2 linked regions of the Lepisosteus oculatus genome follow. The protein of the gene in region 1 interacts with the protein of each later gene in a pairwise test. Links are inferred from orthologs where the notes say so. Each region holds a gene or a part of one and is shown on either strand. Other genes may lie near its edges.

Region 1 (9,799 bases):
AATGGTTATTTTTAACATTTCTTGTTTTCGAAATCTAAGCACATCATATTTAAGTAAATGCAGACACCTTCTGTAGTTCTTGTTTTGCTAGAAGTGCATACTGTATCTCATATTGAATCTTGCTGTTATGAAGAAATTTTGAATTTGGTAACGTTAAACAGCATGTTTTGGCTGGACTCCAAGCAATGCTTCACTGGCCTAGTTCTCTTTGACTTTAAAAAGAAAATTGGCTTGAATTAATTTGCCTAATGCTGCCACAGTGACTAGTCCTGATCAGATTTCAGAAGCTTGGAATGCAAGCAATGAAATCAGAGTGTGGCTGTCTGTCAATCCTCTTTGCTCACAGATTCACAGATGGATTTTGGCCATGAGGTGACAGTGATGTGAATATTGCAGGCTATCTGCTAATGAAAAAAAAACCTACAAAAATTGCAATTTCATATGCTTAATATTTTATCTAAATTTAAGTCAAGCTAATTTTTGCATGCCCTCTGCCCTGTCTTTCTCACACCTGAAGAAGGCTCCATGGGCGAAATGTTGTGTTTTCTTTCCTCTTTTTTCAGCATGGAATAAACCTATAACTTGTAAGTTTTGTATGTGCAGTATTGTAAATGAAAAACACATGACAAAATGTTTCATATCTGAATCAAAGCTGAATCACAAGATGTCCAGAGTAGGTAAGTGTTGCACGTTTCTTAAATGAAATTGCTGGAAAATAAAATGAAATAGAAAGTTCTATGAATTGAAGGAGTGATAATATATATATATATTACTTCCTACCACTGTTAACAAAAAGAAGGGCATCTGAAATGGCTCCCTTCTGGCAAGTTCTTACATGAGCAGCATGCACATTGAAGAAGTAATCATACACATCTTATTGTTTTTACTTCTTTTCACAGCTACTTTTCAGAACCTGTGATGTACAGTTCAGTTTTTATAATAAGTATTGACTTAACCATGGCTGCACTGTGATGCCCACCATCAAACAGCACAGGATGAAAAAAATGTTTTACTGATGGCATATTTTTACACATTCCTGAAGTGGGTGTTGCATTCTTTAAAGCGCATGTTGAATTTGGAGCATGGAGAACAAATTTGGTTTCACTGCCAGCCCCATTAACATGTGAAATTGCAGAAAATATTGTTGTTTACTTAGTATGTTACAGCAAAGGAATATGTTACGAAACAAAAACATTAATTGATTCTCCACCATCTCTGTGTAGGCTAATAAGTAAGGTTAAGCTGTGATAGATCTCTATGGAAATTAATTTTCATTTTAAGAAGTTTTGTTTCTACAGACTTCATATTGGGGTTTCATGTCTATTACTAAATTAGAATAATTTTGTGGACCTTGGAGATTATGATGGTAATACAGTACATACAAATTAAATGTATAGTATGTACACAATCATTGTAGACCAATCATAGTACAATCATTTGTAAAGCTACAATACAGATATTTTTATTAATCTTTAGTTTGAGAGTATAGTCTGGATCTCAATCACCTTTCCCAATTTTTCTTCCTTTCTGCTATAGGAATCTTTTATGAAATGTACTGTATGTAAAAATTCAAAATATCTTTTTGAAACATCGAAAGAACTTGAAGTTAATTTTTAGCCATTATTCTAATTTAGACTAGTTATTGCAGAATGGCTTATTTAAATGAAGAGGAAGAATTGATATTCTCTATGAAAAAGCAAGCCCCTTATACCTGTGACTTTAAACAGATTCATTTTGTTGATCTATAATATGATCTAATATGATCTATAATCCACTCAAAGTGCTTTACAGGTAATGGCTTTACAACCAATGTGCAGCATCCACCTGGATGATGCAATGGTAGCCATAGTGCACCAGAACGCCCGTCACACATCAGTTATCAGTGGGGAGGAGAGATGGGGATTATTAGGAGGCCATGATTGGTAAGAGCCAATGGGAAACTTGGGCCAGGACTCTTTTCAAGAAACACCCTGGAATTTTTAATGACCACAGAGAGTCAGGACCTCAGTTTTACGTCTCAACCGAAGGATGGCACCTGTTTACAGTATAGTGTCCCTGTCACTATACTGGGGCATTAGGACCCACATGGACCGCAGGGTGAGCACCTCCTGCTGGAGCCACTAACACCCCTTCCAGCAGCAACCTTAGTTTTTCCCCAGGAGGTCTCCCATCCAGGTACTGGCCAAGCTTACTACTGCTTAGCTTCAGTGCCACTTGTGAATTGAAGACTGATAGGGCTGCTGGTGATCTACACTTTGTTTAATTGCTATGGCTACATCTTTCTTTCTCTTCTCACATTCATCCTCAGTGATGAAACTTTACTTTGCAATTCCAACTTAATATGTGCCTAACTGCCTTCCAGATTTATCTAGTGGGCAGCTTCTCAATATTGTATCTTAATGATACTAAACTTATGCATCATAAGCATTCATAGAATGTTTAAAATGCTTATACTGTGTATGATATTAATATTTTATATTATATTAATATTTTTGAAATAGGGTTGGATGGTGACACAGTGGTTAGCATTGCTGCCTTGCTGTGTTTGGGCTCTGGTTTCAGTTCCTGGTGTGCTATCTGTGTGTAGTTTGTTTGATCTCCCTGTGTTTGTGTTGTTTCCTCCAGGTGTTCTGGGTCTGTCCCATAGTCCAAAGATACACTGGTAGATGTTTTGGATAAATCTGTTGGCAAAAGGATGGATGGATTACTGGGAAATGTCTGTGATGTTGCTCCTAACTTGATTCAGCTTCTCTGAAGTGTTATAGTGTCTTTGCAAAAATTACAGCTCTTTTGCACCACACTCGTGTGGAGAATGGATATGATTCTTATTGGCAGTTCTCAGATAGGTTATATTCCTCAATTGAAATTCTCTCTTTTAGAGTTCTTCAGTTAATAACAAATGCTTGCTTCAATAATTCATCTCCTTGCATAAAAATCCTATTCCCAAAAGGAAGGCAATTATAAGCAGTGCCTAGGGTATTTCATGAGGTTTTAACTTGTTTATTTCACTTTAATTTAGTGTTCCAGTGAAAAGAGGTCAGCTTGGTTTTCGATGAATTTAGTGTCCAAATGCTTAAATCCAAACTAATAAACAAAGAGTGTAAATAGTTACTGGCTTTTGTTTTACCCTCAAATATCTATGACTGTGTACTGCAGTAGAATGAGAAAGTAAAAGCTAGAAAATTAGATAATTAGAACAATACAGTGATAAGCAAATATTATATTGCCATTACCCTCACCTGGAGAAAAAGTATAATCCAGGTGGCCAACATAAGTGGACAGAAATGACTTATTATAACCATTTATGCAGATCTCAATCAATTAAATTATGCATTATATTATAATTCGCATTCTCTTATTTTTGCATAATCACATGAATCTCTCACTAACGAAAACCAACAGGAATAGAATCCAGCAAGGGCCTGTCCTCAATAAAACCAAAAAAAGCTTAAATAAAAAAAGAGTAAATACTATTGCCCATTAGTGTAAAGCAGCATGGAAAGTAGGGTACTGGCCACTTACTGTAAACCACTTTGAAATATATTGTTTTGTTAAGCATATATGGTATATAGCACTGTTGCTCTGCTCTTTATTTTTAAATTCCTGACAAATGTATTTGAAATCAGTCAGATGTGAGCTTTTAAACTTTGTATACAGTATGCTTAATTAAATTGCAAGAGCTACCCTACCAAGGATTAAGCATGCACCCCACTGTACTAAAATGAAAAGGCTTGTTTGAGAGCCACTGTAGTGTGTATGGGACACAGGATGAAACACCAAATGCAGCAGAGGTACAAACGGCAGTATCTGTTAGCTTGGCACCATGCAGGGCCTCATGCAAAAGCCCTAGGTTTCAATCTGGGGATGTGTGAGAAAACTTGACAGTTGCACTGTTGGAATTACAATGTACTGCAATACACCATTGGTTCAGAGCTGTGGTGCAGTGTCTATCACTGCTTTTCCACAGATCATAGTTGCTGGATTCATTTCTGGACTAAGGTGCAGGCATTCAGACTCTGTGTGAGTTTGCATTTCTCCCCTTGTTCATGTGGATTTATTCCAGGTGCTGTGGTTTCCTCCCAGCTCCCAAAAGAAATGGTGGCTAAGTAAACTGGTGTGTCTTAATTGTTCTCTTGTGATGGACTGATCCTAGATGATATCCCATCTTGTATCCTAAACCATTGTGATATACTCTGGATTTTGGGATTCATCTTGGTACACGATATTCACTCTGACATCCACCCCTTAGAAGTATATATTTGCTGGTATTAGTACAAAAGTTTCTTTCTGCTTAATCCATAGATAAAAAAAAAAATTCATTGAAGTCTGAATCGAAAAATATTGGGTTAATTAACAAAAATAGAAAAAAATTAATAACTAATACAGAGTTGCATATATACAGAGGTCAAATGTTAATCGATTCCTTAAATGGAAAGGTTAGTACAGTATACTTAAACATTTCTATATTCTCCTCTGTCAATATTGAATTGTATAAGTGATTAGCATGTAACTGATGTACGTTCTGTCTGAAATGACTGAAAGGGATTACAGAGTTCTTTATATCACTATAAATGGGGATTTTGATTTTATCTGAAATGTAGAACTTGCCATTTGGAAGGCTTGAGAAGTTGAACATGTAACTTGACAGGATGTATTGTACAATTAAAGACACTATATAAAATAAAGGTGATTATTAGAATTTTTCTGCAAAGAACATACAGTATACAGTATTTACTGTATATCTGCCAGGTGCTGGTACAGTAGAATCTCTTTGAGGAAGGGGCCTGCTTCTTGTTAGCTGTGTTAACCTCTCCGAAGCCCTCCTGTCATTCGGATATTTTCAGAAGCAGCAAGTGGATGTCAATGAAATCATGCGCCAACTGTAGCTCGGCTGACAGTTTAAGTAGGCATTGGAGCGCATGACTGGCAAGCGAACAGAGGGAGGAGGGGGGAGGGCAATACCAGCTGAATTTCTTTTAACTGGATTGTGGCTTCCAACTTGTGCTCTGCAGGCGTGGAAAAGTTCATTGTACATCAGCTAAACCTTGTCAGCAAAACAGTTTTCTGTGCTTTAGACTTAGAAAGGTAAGAATGCGTGTTTTGCTATTTCTTTCTCACTAGTTGTTCGTATTTTTGATATCTCATTTAAAACGTCACTGTTTCGAATAGTTTACTAAATCATAAACTTTAAATTTTAATTTCAATGTTTTCTTGGAAGGGAATCAATTGTTTTGATTAATTATTTAAAAGGGTGTGCGGTTGTAGCGAGTGCATTTAAACAGATGACGGACACTTCGTGCCTTAATAAGACAGAATTTATTTAGTTGACCACCGGTATCGGACATTTACCGTGCAAGATGTTTTAGTCTTTTTTAAGCTTTGTCCTTATAAATATGTAATTTATATACATTTAATAGTTGAATTAATTAAGTGGAAAACACCAGCTCGTTTTAATTATGTAATGACAACGAAAGACACCAGGTGTTTTCCTGTACACTGTAGTCATCCCCACTAAATAGAGAATGCGTTTTCCAGGGACATAACATAATTTGTATATTTAAATTTATTTTTGTGCATAACTCATTTGAATGCTTGGACACAGTGTGCAACTATTTTCGACACTTTGCAGTTTATAAAGTTTATAATTTTGCAAGTTTTTTCTGTATTCTGACATGTAAACGTTTTTATAAATATATTTTTGTTCTTAATTTAACTAACCAAATAGAAGTTTCACTTTGATGAGAAACTGTTGGCGTGCTAAATATAGAATACTACGCAAAGCTTGGGTTTATTTTTTGCAATGCAAGGAAGCCTGCAGCCTATTTATAATCTACTAGGAATACCTTGGTCAGGGTCACATACTAAGGTAAAAGTTTCTAAATAGTTTATAAATGGTTCAAAACATTTACAGTAGCTACATGAATCTTTATCTTTGAGAATTAGATTTCAAATTATTGATTAGTTGATGACATTTTTCACTTTGTTCATATTTAATCACTCAGAGTAACCATGTATTCCATTAATATTCTAATTATTAAACTACATACTGTATACATGTTCAGTCGTATTTATCCAATATGATATGTGTAATTAGACTGTTTTATCAAAACCTATTTTAGAAGACTCAGATGTCAAGTAAAATAATTGATTCATCTGTAATATATCTCCTTAAGGTCTGTATTAATGTGGAACTCCAATAATTGTACTGTGTGATGTAGGTAACTGATATAAACCAAAGGGAGTTTTTTGAAAACTGAATTATTATTGTGCAGTGGATAATGTTATGTGTTTTTTGCTTCTTTTTCTAATAGGTAAAATGACACTGCTACAAAATCTTCAGCTGAAAATCGACCCTAAGGATCTTCAGATCAGGACTATAACAGTGGAAAGGTTGCTTGAACCACTGATTATACAGGTATTCAGTTTAATAAACAAGGACATTCATACCAATGGAAAAAACGTTTACCTTTGACTTTGATCAATGAATTTAATCTTAGAGGAAAATTAACAGTTAACAAAATGCTTGCTTTCTAAACAAGTAATCTAACACCAAGCCACCAATTCATTTTTAAGCCTCCAATTATTTCTACCAAATTGCTCCATGAATAAGAAGTTGATTATTATAATTGGAGAAACTGAAGATGGGCATGGCATCTTTAGGAAGCAGCTTAATAATACACTGGTGTACTATTTTCTTGTGAATGTGTGGACTTGTTTTTTCAGGACACTCAGAAAATGAGAAGGTTTTTGTTCTGGTTAGATAAATATGGGTTTCAGAGGATACAAGGCTATCTGAATGAAAAATGACAGTTCAGAAGACGGTCAGTCAACCACAGAATCTGCTATTGAGCAGCTAGAAGGAGAGTTTACAAAAGCTAATAGCCACTGTTCTTGACCAGCTTAGGTGCTACTAGGAGTCTTGGTTACAGGCACAGAGTGATACAGCCCAGACAAGTGCAGATTTTAGACTGAATTTAGCCACAACTATTTTGTTGTTGCTCTGCTCATCCATGCAATCACTTTTATGCTACCTGGTTAGTTGCTATCAGCTCCAATCCTATGCTTCAGAAAAAGTGTCTCAGTACAATAGCTGATCCTGGAGTCGTATTGCAAGTTGTGAGGAACTGCCTATGTAGTCTTGGGCAGAATGAAAAGATATGTCTCTTCAAGCAGCATGTGCCAGTTTTAGAGTTTGCATAGTGGAATGCTAAGCTGTTGAAGGGTTTCTCTGCAGAAAGAGTCATAGGGTTCTCTTAATTTCACACCTGCTATGACTCTTGATCAGAGGTTTACAATCAGCAATTCCCATATAATAATTCGGAGTAAACAGAATGTATTCTTTTACTTACATACAGTATATATTACATATATATATCCCTCACCCCTGGAAGCAAATATCTTGAATGTCATAATGTCTTAGTGTGTCTGTGTTTTTATTCAGTTCAGTTTTATTGCATCCCCCAAAATTCACTTTGGGGCATTTTTTATGTTACTAGACCTATTTGAACAAACCTGTCACAGTCGTCTTCCATCCTCTAGAGGGTGTTCCTACATTTTTTGTTGTGTTCCCAGCTTTATTTGTCCCAGCTATTTCCTATCCCCGATTCCCTATTTAAGCTTGGCGTCTCCGTAGTTCTGGGCTCAGCTTTGGAAGACGGACGCCCAGAAGCCCGCCTACCATCAGGCACAGAAGTGGCCCAAAGGCATAGGCTTCACCATGGCGTCCTGACCTCTGAGTCTGGGGCTCGGAGCGCTTTGCCTCGTTATGATTTTAATCTTCCATGTTCCTGGTTCAACGTTCCCATTCCTGTGTTAATGGTCTTTGTCATGGCTGGACCACGCGGCTTTTGGATTACGGACCGCGCCCCGATTTTCCCTTCTGGACTTCCTTGGACTCGTTAGCCTACTTCATGCCTCCTGTGCACCAGATCACTCAAGTCACCATCCCCTGTCTGTTATCCCGACCTTACCTAGCTGTGCCTTCCCTGATGTCCTTCTCCAGACTCTTATACCATCACATTATACCATCACACATAGGGTCTTCTTACGCAATTCATGAGAGTCAGAACCAGCTCCTGTGACAGAAAGCTGAGTCTTCTACTAAGACCCCATGGAGTTCCCATCAGGATTTTTTTTCCTTTTTTTTGATGTCTGGACTCTGATTGTTTTGATTTGGAGAGTCTGCCTGTTTTGGATTTTTTTTTTTCTCTTTCTTGGTATTTTTTCAAAGAGAGGACTGCCCGCCCTGTATATATTCACGTTTTTTGGTGACTTTCTAGTTGTAAATAGTCATTATCGTATATAGTAACCTTTCCTAGTTGTACAGTATATAGTCTTGGCTTTTAGCTGTCCCTGGTTTAGTCACCTTCGTTTTTATTTTATAAGGGCACCCGGAGTCTGCCCTTCTAGGAGGGGGTACTGTTACAGTTACCATCCTCTCCTACAGAGGACTCTCCAACCTCCTCATGTTAGTCTTTATTAGCTACATTATTTCCTGGTGTACTGTGCTTTAGCTTCCCTGTTAAAGTTTACTCCTTCCTGTCTTTGGGGCTCATCTTTGGAACATGGAAGCCCGATGGCCTGCCTACCACCAGGCTTCAGGAGGAGGCACAGCCCTGGGCTTAGAACAGAGCTCTGTATTTCCTGGATTCTTGTCTTGTCATGTGTTCCTGTTTGTCTGCATCTCCTGATGGATCTCCCGGCAATGGACTTATGGACTGCTTCCTGACTCCCCCTTGAACCTCCTTGGATATGTTTGTCTTCGGATATTCCCCTACTTCACTGTGAGCACCAATTAACCCTGTGTGTCTCCCCTGAACCCTGTCTATGCTCCTTTTTCCTCGCATAGGGTCTAAATATCATCCTACACGGGAGGGCAACCCGGCTTTTGCAGCGGAGCTAGTTCAGATACGGTGACATCATCACCCTCACTGCGCATAGCAGGGACCTCAGCTGCCTGGGTTGAGGGAGGTTTCCTTTAGCTCATGTGGCTGGTTCCCTGTTGCGTTACTCCAGAGACCCGGGTTCGCGCCCCAGGTGTTGTGGGATGAAACGGGTTGGAGGAGGGCACGAGACTGCACAGAACCGCAACGGTCACACTTTCATGACAAAAACGAAGTACTGTATGTGAGCCTGGTCAATACCTGGGTGAGAGACCTCCTGGGAAAGCTAAGGTTGCTGCTGGAAGAGTTATTAGAGGGGCCAGTAGGGGGTGCTCACCCTGTGGTCTGTGTGGGTCCTAATGCCCCAATATAGTAATGGAGATGCTATACTGTAAACAGGTGCTGTCCTTTGGATGAGATTTAAAACTGAGGTCCTGATGCTTTGTGGTCATTAAAAATCCCTGTGTTCTTCTCCAAAAGAGTAGGGGTATTACCCTGGCATCCTGGCCAAATTTCCTCTTGGCTTTTACATATCATGTCCTCCTAATAATTGGGCTAGGGGTGCTGACATACAGTATCATCCAGGTAGATGCTGCACATTGGTGGTGGTTGAAGGGAGTTCCTGTTATCTGTAAAGTGCTTTGAGTGGAGTGTCCAGAAAAGCACTTTATAAGTCTAAGGAATTATTATTCATTTTAATGACTTCATTTTATTTATTATGAAAATTTTATTCACAGGCTTGGCATGCTGCAATATGATGCTTTTTAGGTTTCCACACAGTGAAAACCTACTGTAATTGTAAGACATTTTAGTTTATATTTGATATCTTATGTGAAACTGGGTAGCTAAGTGACTTCATAATACCGTAGGTAGGTATCTTGGTGCAGATAAGTTTTTATGGAGGTTTAGTTAAATCC
Region 2 (10,113 bases), on another chromosome or scaffold:
GAGAGCTCAAATCGGGCTCGGGTTACAAAGCCTGCTTGAAGACCACATTAACCTTTATTCAAGAAGCCGAGAAACTGAGCAATGAAAAGCTCAAAGGCAATGAAAAGCAGAGGAGCTTGCAGCTCTCGGGGGACTGGAGAATGGGACGGCGGTCTCTGTCTCTGTGCAGGTACCAGGCTCGCTTTGAGAAGGTGCAGCGGGTTCAGGCTGAACATCTGTATTCTTCCCTGGGTCTCACAAAGGCAGAGTAACGCCTCCCACACACATCTGGGCTTCCCCCTCTGATACAGGGTTACAGACAGGAGGCTCCTGGTTCTGCCCCTCAGGTATTTGGTCATAGAGGCCGCAGGTGCCATAGACCCACACACCTTCACGAAAACTGCAAGAAATACTCTTTCCCATTAGTCGGCTGTTTATGTTCCCGCTCTGGCTAAAGAATTGCAGTGTTGCATTATTGATGGGCCTAAATTTTAGCTCGGTGTTCGACCTGAATAATTGATGTTCTCTGGGCGTGCAGTGGGCATTGCTGGGGTGCTTCTCTCTCGGCGAGCACAGAGAGAACCGGCTGGTCATCCGTCTTAAGCTGCGTTCCCCAGCCACCTCGCACAGTGCCATTCAGTCCCTCCATAACTAAAGTATTACCTCGTCTAAAACACATTTAAAATAACCCTAGAATTCTTTGTCTTCTAAAGACCTGACTAAGAAGACTCATTTATTCAACTGATGTTGCTTGAGTAGAATATCTGTAGGCGATCGCTGACCCTGCTCTGGTGGGGTTTCCTCTTGTGTGTTCCCGAGAGCTGGGAATTGAGTGTGATGATGTAAAACTCTGCTGAAGGAATCTCCCATTGGGTGGCCTCTTGGTCAGGCTAGCGTTTGACCGCCAGCTCAAGTGTGCTTGCATCTATCCCGGAAGGTGATGGCATATTCTCGCGATGCATGCGCACGAAGGACACCAGATAAATATCTAACCGATGGGCTAGTCTTCATCGGCTGGGCCGTGCTGTCTCACAAGAAGAGCTCTGCTGGGGGGTGAGAGACTGGGTGAGAGACTGGTGAGAGAGCTGGTTGGCACTGTCCTCTGACCCAGGGGCTGGGCTGAGCTCAAGGCCATCGACAGATTGTATAATAACTTATCACAGTCGGTGGTGCAGTATCAGAGGACAATGGTAACATAACATTACTTAGCCCTATACAATTTCTTGCATTAGGAATTGCAGACACAGACAGGGAGAGAGAAGCTGGGGGTCAGAGCGCAGGGTCAGCCATTGTACAGCACCCCTGGAGCAGTTGGGGTTAAGGGCCTTGCTGGAGTAGGATTCCTCTGCCATCTGTGGGATTTGAACCAGCAACCTTCCAGCCACAGGCGCAGATCCTGAGCCACAGAGCCACCGCTCTGCCCTGCCTCCAGTCTCTACCTGGACTCCCCACCTTGGGCAGGGAGGCTGTTGGTGACATACAGCTCTGCCTTTGCCAATGATGTCAGAGAGTCTGCTAGTCACGAGAGAGTCTGTCAGTGATGTCATAGTGACTGTTAGTCATAAAAGCGAGTCTCCAGTGATGTCATAGTGACTGTTAGTCATAAGAGAGAGTCTCCCAGTGATGTCTGAGCAGGGCTGCCACAGGGAAAGGCGTGAGACAGCTTGTGTGTGGGGGGTGGGGTGGGAGGAGCTGCCTGTGCACACTGATAAGAGGGGCACAGGGCTGAACAGCCACACTGTGTGATCAAATGGCACACCTGTGCAGCACACAATGGGCTTTATTCCAGCTGCTGTGCCAGTGTGAGAAGCCAGTCAGCACAAAGACAGGATACCAACTGCGTTGATTCAAACCAGGAAAAGGAGGAAAACTAAGAGAGAAAGGGCACTTTTAAGTAGACCACGGGTATGTTTTGAAACACAGTGGCACAGTTCACTTTTCAGGGTTGTGTCAAAAGCTGGACCTCAAAAAGTTCTCTGCAATTTTCGATAATAATAATAATAATAATAATTGCTTACACTTATATAGCGCTTTTCTGGACACTCCACTCAGAGCGCTTTACAGGTAATGGGGATCCCCTCCACCCCCACCAGTGTGCACCTCTTCCAGCAGCAGCCTCAGCTTTCCCAGGAGTCTCCCATCCAGGTACTGACCAGGCTCCAGTGGGGCTGCCAGTTTTTGAGTTGCAGAGTGATGTGGCTGCTGGCCATGTCGATGTGCAAGGCAAGGCCTAGTAATGATCAGAATCCACCCTGCGTCACTTGTCCCCACGACAAATCGAGTTTCTGGAGGCCTGTCACAGGTACTGCAGAGGCTGAATGAGCGTTGAGAGACTCTTGATTTTGAGGCCCCTCCCGCCCTGGCTCTGATCCTTCCTTCTGGAGGAGGAGTGAGCTGGGGGGACAGGTCAGCGGGCACAGCCTCCATCTGGGGCAGCTTTCCTGGGGGGCATTTTCCCAGCGAGTGGGAACAGGAGGCACGAGGCAAAACCTTTGGGCTGAATAAAAATCCCAAAAGGCTCGGGACCAGTCGTCCTGCCTGGCTCTTCAACACAACCCCAGTTGCCTTCTGGCATCCAAAATTAAGGTGGCTTGTTCTAGCTTGGGGTACGCACAGGGCCGTAGTCAATCAAGGAAGCGCCAAAGGATTTTCTGGGCAGAGATGGAAGTAGATGCTGGATGACAGGACAGCGCGATCGAGAAACAAGACGAGCGATCCCACTTACAGTGAGAGATTTCGCTCACACAGCAGAACTCTCTTATGACTAGCAGACTCTCTGACATCACCGGCAGACTCTCTGACATCACTGGCAGACTCTCTCTCGTGACTAGCAGACTCTCTGACATCATTGGCAGGCTCTCTGACATCACCGGCAGGCTCTCTGACATCACCGGCAGGCTCTCTCTTGCCATGGTAATTATACAGAGCAGGTTTTTCAAGCTCCCCCTGCCCACAGCCCCCAGGAGCTGTGACACTGCCTTCATGCTGCGTCTTCTGCTCTTGCCTCTTGCCTCCCGCAGTTTCGCTCAGGCCTACTCGTTGCTGTGCCACATTCACGAGGGAGTTACTGTGCGAAAGTACTCAAGCACCTCACTTCATACCAGTGAAACCACACACTGCTGCCTGTTCGTAAGGGGACAGCAGACAAAAAAACAATATAGAGTTATCCTGAAGAAAAGGTGTGAATTGTGATGTTGGTGACTTGTTAAAACTGCCCTTTTTGCAGGTCCCTGGGCAGCTGTAACGTTAGATGCTGCTGGGATACCAGGTCCCTCTTGCTGGTTTATAGATCTGTCACCAGTAATCATTCTTCCACTGATTAACCGGGGAGTCTGGTCGTGTCCAAGACCACTCATAATAAGACTGCTTGTCACAGTGTCGGTTCTACCTCTTTCTCTGAATCACCACTTGATGACCCACTAGAGGCTGTCTGGATCCGAGGGAGAGCAACTGTTTGAAACAGAAGGCTCAGGTCTTTATTTTCGAGCTCCAGCTGGTGAAACATTCGGGCGTAATCCTGAGACAGCAATGACTCCTCCAGTGTATGGACGACCTGTTACGCTGTGCACTGGACGCATCTAGAAGCTACCGTGAGCTTGGCTGGCTTTCGGGTTTAATGATCATGTCAGTGTCCGGCGCTGCAGAATTTGTACGGCTCTACTTTCACCTGGGGTTTTAGTCCGAGTGAAATCTTGCCATTTTTAGCAAACCTGAACAGGATCATTATAATCATGGGGAGCGGTTTTGTGGGATGCAGAGATCAAAGCGACGATAGGTCCGTTATGAACAGTTACACGTGCAAACAGTGTGCTTAAAACTGTTAAATCCGCACGTGGCCATAAAGGTACTGTATGACAATTGTGCTATCGCGTGATCACATGAAGTACGCGAGAATTACTATCTCGTAATGACGACATCAGGTTCTCCTAATTGCGAGGACAGGGTGAGGATCTTGTTTTTGGGTCCTCGGTGGCAGCAATGCGCTTCCGTTTTAAAGCCCACACTCCCTCCTACCCTCTTTTTAATTTCATCGGAGTTCGTGTGGGATCAATGCGTCGTCATCTAGGGGAATAAAAAAAAATGAGGTCGCAGGTGCGAAACGGCAGGAGAACGAGCGAGAGGGGGGTGTCGGCGGGCTGGCGGTCAGTGAATGACCTCTCCTCGTTTGGAGCCAGTCCTGGCTTCTGAATCCTATTCAACAGCGGGGTCGAACTTCAACACAGTTAGATGAACTAAAACCGTTTTCGATAGTGGCATATCCACAAAGTTTGGGAACATTTTTTGGATTATTCTTGGACGTAAACGCAGTAAACTTTCCTAACGAGGCTAGATATCTGACGCCTTTGGGGTTTTTTATTTTTTATTTTTTTACACATAAATATTCAATCACTGTAAAATGTAAGTAGGGGGAGCTTGAAGTCCCCGGTCGTGCATTCATTAGGACTGCTGTCGCCGAGCCGCTGCGCATCTGAGCGCGGAGCGCAGCTCTCCGGAGACGCCTGCATGGCCGGCTCGGAAACTCCCAGGAGCCGAACCGAACCGCGACGTCCGCCCCGGGCCACCGCTCGTCATTCACACAGCCGGGGGGGTCACGGACACGTCCAGTCCAGAACCGCCCTGGCTTCAAAAGGTTCCGACGCGCCACCGTGCCGTTTTCGATTCCGAGCAACGTTTGTTCGGCGAAACGCCCCCCGTTCACGGTCGTTTGTTTTTTTTTTTGTTAAAGGTGTAATTGGCAAGAGTGTCGATTCTCCGGAGAAAGCAGAAGTCGGGGTGGGGCTGAGAACAGAGCAGAGAGGCCACAGAGCACACGAAGTACGGCCGCAGTAGGCATCTGTCCATCCGGCCATTGTCGAAGCCCTTTCTCCAGTTCAGGGTCGCTGGGCCTGACCCTATCCCAGCAGGCAACGGGCGCCAGGCAGGGTACATCCTGGACGGGACGCCAGGCCATCACAGGGCACACGCACACACAAACACACCCAAAGAAGGCTCCACAGCCGAAACGTCGTGTTTCTTTTCTTCTCTTTTAGGCAGGGAATAAACCTGTACCTGTTCCTTTTGCCGTCTAAGCGCGCTGACGCGGCTCCCAACGGGAACTACTTGAGACACTAAAACACTTGCACCTAGGGTCAATTTCCCCCAGAAACAACTGACCTGCCGATGCGATGTCGGCCTTTTGGCTAAGATCAAGTGTGTGTTTCTGGATTGTGGGAGGAAACCCCACCCTGACAGCACCACAGGTCCGGTTCCGAACCCGAGGCAGAAGTGCTAACCGCCGCGCCAGTTAAATCGCATTAAAAACGCGTTCTCAATTGGGAATAACCCAGAGACCCATTCCCACAGCTTGGCATTTTACTAAAGCAACTAGAAGAAAACGCTTTGCTGCAGACGAAAAATAAAGAATTGTTTTTTTTTATTTCAAACAGTTGTTCTGCCTTGGTCTTCCAAACAGCCTCTAGCGGGTTATCAAGCGACGATTCACAGAAAGGTGTAGGAATGACGCTGTGACAATCTCATTACGAGCGGTGCTGGAGACGACGGGACTCTAAAATGCAGTCATCGGGCACCGGTGACAGATTTGTAAAGAGGCGAAACTGTTTAAAAACAAGTTCAGTTCGTGGGTTTGGAAAATAAATCAATGTTTCAATCATCTTTAATTAATAGAGGGCTCCACTGGAGTCCAACACCGCTTTAGTCCAGATAAACGTTTTAGGACAGTACTATAATTTTAATACCTTCGGAGAAAATATTCTCAGACGAAGGAGCAACTATTAGTAACATCAGATTAAATATTAAGGAGACTCGCACTCGCATAAAAGATGTAGAACTACTAACATAGATCAAAGTTTCTTAAATAGCGTTACTAAAGGTTGATTCTACAGTCAAAAATCAATAAATCAGTTGATAAAATGTTGTTAAATACATCAAGCTGTATTGTATATAATGCGTGGTACTAACAAAGTGGATCCAGGATGCACGTTTATCTTAAAAAATGTTTTTCTGTCAACGTAATATCAATAGGACTGCTGTTTGTGTGCCGAGCTGGTGTGTGGTAATTATATTTTCTGCTCTACACACCGTAGTTCAGCGCGGTGCGGTCGGATTTAATTCGTAGTTCATTGTTGCCAGTGGAGAAGAGTAGTTTAGGAAGAGACAGCTGAGTGCGTTAGGCAGAAGTAAAACAACAAATCCGACGTGTTGATTATTCGGCATCTCGCTGGCGCGCCGAACTGTCCGGTCCACCTTAAGGCCTCCGGGGGGAGAGGGGGTCTCGGGGCCAGCGCGGGGGGCGGGCTCACGGGCTCACCTGGATAAGGTAATGCAGGAAGCCCCGCCCCCCCCGCCCTCAGACGACTGCCTTACTGATGTTCGTCCACCGGGAGCGAGTGCAGTTCAGATCGAAGCGAATGGGATAAAAATAGGTCCGAGGACACTAGAGACGTTGCTAGCACCGAGGAGCGCAGAAGATTAATAATTTTTTTTCTTCCTAAAAAAGCGCCCAGCCGAGGCGAGTTGCTCGAGTTGAGCAACGTCTGTGCTCGTTAAATCCAGTCCGGTGGCGTTCGCCTGCAGCGCGGTTTCCTGTTCGTGCGCCGTGCCGAGCAACTTTACTTTTCGCCAGCCCTTAACACCTTCCCTGCCGACATCGTCGTCAAGGAGAAGAAGCAGGAGGACAAAGAGGCGCCCCTCTCTGACTCCACGGAGGGATTTATCTTATTTCGGAACTCGGGGGAGCAGCGCCTCCGGACCCGGCCATGAGCGTCATTTCTGAGACCGTCTTTCTGTCCACTGTGCAGCCCACCAACACGCCCGTCAGCAGCTATGCCGTCCCCTCGGAGATCCAGCTGGAGCGCGGCGGCACCCGCTCGGACGAGCTCTCCCGGTCCCGCCGGGTCCAGCAGCAGGTCCAGCTGCGCCTGGCCGAGAAGTCCTCCGGGTCCGTGTCGAGGGCGGTGAACGGGACAGCCCACAGCACCGCCTCAGGTGAGACTCGCCAGTCCTTCCTCGCCGACGGCAGCTGCTGCGCTGTGGTCTTGTGTCGCGTTTATTGTGTGTTTCTCTTGCGCACCTGGTGTGTGTGTCACCTCCCCAACCCCAAGTACGTGCGGACAGCCTTAAACCCATGAAGGAGGCTTTGATTTAGTGTGGCCGGAGACCCTTCCTGACTTTTCTTTTTTTTTTTAATACTCGCTGTCTTCGGTTCTGCCTCTTCAGAAACTGGCCCGCTCCGTTCACGGCGAGAGCCGTGGGTGAGATGTAGCTGTCACAAAACGGTAGTATCGAGGCGAAAGTGATCGCTTGTTGTGTGCCGAGCTGGCTTGTGGTAATTATGTTCCATGGAGTTTCCTGCGCTATACTATAGATCAGTACGGTCTGATCTAATGAGAACGGTAAACCCTGGTACTGCTGTATGTGTTGTATATATTGCGGGAGGGTAATGGCTTATTAACACCTAAGTTTCTTTAAGGTGTTATGATTTGTTTTTCACTCATTTATAACGCACCTTTCGCGCATAAGACTCAAAGTGCTTTTTTAGAAATAAAATAGAATAGGTTAACAAGATGGAGAAGAGCCAGTAAGCAGGTATAAGTGCAGATATTTTGAAAAAAATCAAAGTAATTAAAAAAAAGTTACACATGCAAACAGTAGGAAATCCATTAAGCAACAAAATTTATCTTGTAAAAGTGAGTCATCGGCATGGAGCTCAAACTAGCCAGCGAGCTTGAGTTCTTGGCAGAGCAGTTTCAAGGTTGTGGGGAGCGGCCCCACCCTCTCTCTTTAACCAGACCTTCGGTGTGGGGGCTGCTGGACACAACATCTCTGCAAGGCTGCCCGCGGCTTGGAATGCCAGCAAAATCATTTCAAGCTCAACTGCTCAATTAACCAGGGGAAGCCAGTGCAGAGTAGCCAGGACAGGAGTCCTTTTCTTGTTTGTCGGGTAGTAATAATAATTGCTTACACTTATAGAGCGCTTTTCTGGACACCCCACTCAGAGCTCTTTACAGGCCCCACCTGGATGATGCTCCAGTCCTCTAACTCAAACCAGCTCTCAGTGGGGAGGAGAGCAGAGTGATGAGGCCAGTTCAGAGAGGGGGGTTATTAGGAGGCCATGATTGATAAGGGCCAATGGGAAATTTGGCTACTCTTTTCGAGAAACACCCTGGGATTTTTAATGATCACAGTCAGGACCTCGGTTTTACGTCTCATTCTAGGGACGGCGCCTTTTTACAGTACAGTGTCCCCGTCACTATACTGGGGCATTAGGACCCACACAGACCGCAGGGTGAGCGCCCCCTGCTGGCCCCACTGACACCTCTTCCAGCAGCAGCCTCAGCTTTCCCAGGAGTCTCCCATCCAGGTACTGGCCAGGCTCACACTGCTGAGCTCCAGTGGGGCTGCCAGCTGGGAGCTGCAGGGTGATTTGGCTGCTGGAGTACCATAATTGCAACCAACCCGTATTGTTTGTAGAAAGCCTTAAATTGCCATGTTGTACTCTATTGTTTAGTGCCCTTTGTGTGTTCAGATGTGAAGCCCAGGCTCTGCCTCGCTGCAGGCTTTTTTCCTCTGCTGCTCCGTGCTGCAGACAGGCTGATGCTCGGGGTGTGAATTGCCGTGCAAGTCGGGTCAGGACAGCAACCAGAAAAAATTCCCCTGAATCGCCCTGAACGTGCAGAGCACAGAGACAGGGCCGAACCCCTCCCCCCCCGGGCCACGCACGAGGCAAGTGCACAGCAGACGATGAGAGAGGGCAGAGTGCTGGAAAACCTCCCGTAGGCCAGGGGACGGATAAAGCGCACCTGGGCCCACAGGGATCTTGTTCCCTTTGACCCACTGCGGCGTGCAGATCTCGCGCGGGACGTCCCGGCGGTGGGCTCTGGGGTGAGCCCTGTGCGGGTTCGCCGACGTTCTGCAAGTGTTCCCCTGTTCCCCTGGGGCTCTGGAGCAGCAGAGCAATGCTTTGTGATGTTTGTGGCGAGCTTGCGTCCTGTTCTGCCTGATCTTATTGAGCAATGACTTAGTCAAAACACCACCCCCCCACCCCACCCCACCCCTCCAGTGTTCTCGCTTGACGAGACGGTGCAGTTTGTTTTGCCCCGGGGGGAATATCTCTGCGCGCGGGGCGAGACAGTGCCGCTGGAGCTACGGGCGTGAGCTCTCTGCTGGTCGCTGCTCGTGGTGGTGGTGGGGGGGGGTGTCATTCGCTGTTGCTCCTGTGAGGGCCTTGGGAATGGCTCTCCGCGCCCGACACGTCCTGCCCGGGACGCTGAGCACATGCCCTGAAAGGAGCAGGTCCCGTGGGTGGGAGGGCGGGCCTGGGTGTGTCAAGGGGGAGTTTGTGACAAAGTCTGCTGGTCTGCAGAAAGGGTGAGTCACGCTCCTGATTGCTGCAGCTCCCATCCGCTCGGGCTGTGCGAGTGGACGTGATGTACCTCTTATCTGCGGACGCGTGGTTCCTTCACGCCGAAGGCTACCAGACTGGATGTTTTGTGTCTTCGTAACAAGGCGGCGGCGGCTGCTTCTGCCGTGGGTGGTGCTGCGCCCTTTTCACTTCCACCTCGACGCAGTGGTGAGCTGAGAGTGTTGCCAAAACAAATGCGTAGCCCCCTCTGGATCTGCTGGCTTCTGCTGGCAGCAGGCATCACAGGGCCGCAGGTCAGTAATCCTGGTGCAGCCAGGTCTCGGGGCGCCACAGCGCTGCAGGTCACTAATCCTGGTGCAGCCAGGTCTCAGGGCGCCACAGCGCTGCAGGTCACTAATCCTGGTGCAGTCAGGGCTCAGGGTGCCACAGCGCTGCAGGTCACTAATCCTGGTGCAGTCAGGGCTCAGGGTGCTCCAGTGCTCCAGAGCTGCAGGTCTCTAATCCTGGTGCAGTCAGGCCTCAGGGTGCCACAGCGCTGCAGGTCACTAATCCTGGTGCAGTTTGGGGTTTAGGGTGCTACAGAGCTGCAGGTCACTAATCCTGGTGCAGTCAGGCCTCAGGGTGCCACAGCACTGCAGGTCACTAATCCTGGTGCAGTTTGGGGTTTAGGGTGCTACAGAGCTGCAGGTCACTCATCCTGGTGCAGTCAGGTCTCAGGGTGCCACAGCGCTGCAGGTCACTCATCCTGGTGCAGCCAGGTCTCAGGGTGCCAC

Evidence for each region.
Region 2: the proteins of catenin alpha-3 (region 1) and plakophilin-3 interact in a two-hybrid assay, tested with the Homo sapiens proteins (2 studies listed by IntAct). The link is inferred for Lepisosteus oculatus from reciprocal best matches to the Homo sapiens genes CTNNA3 and PKP3.

The regions. Positions count from the first base shown.
Region 1 is NC_090699.1:34,544,689-34,554,487, forward strand, and holds the start of catenin alpha-3, read left to right. Parts: upstream 1-4,944; 5' UTR 4,945-5,085; intron 5,086-6,311; 5' UTR 6,312-6,316; coding exon 6,317-6,415; intron 6,416-9,799. UniProt on the Homo sapiens protein: May be involved in formation of stretch-resistant cell-cell adhesion complexes.
Region 2 is NC_090716.1:2,055,084-2,065,196, forward strand, and holds the start of plakophilin-3, read left to right. Parts: upstream 1-6,323; 5' UTR 6,324-6,734; coding exon 6,735-6,963; intron 6,964-9,541; exon of another isoform or gene 9,542-9,633; intron 9,634-10,113. UniProt on the Homo sapiens protein: A component of desmosome cell-cell junctions which are required for positive regulation of cellular adhesion. Required for the localization of DSG2, DSP and PKP2 to mature desmosome junctions.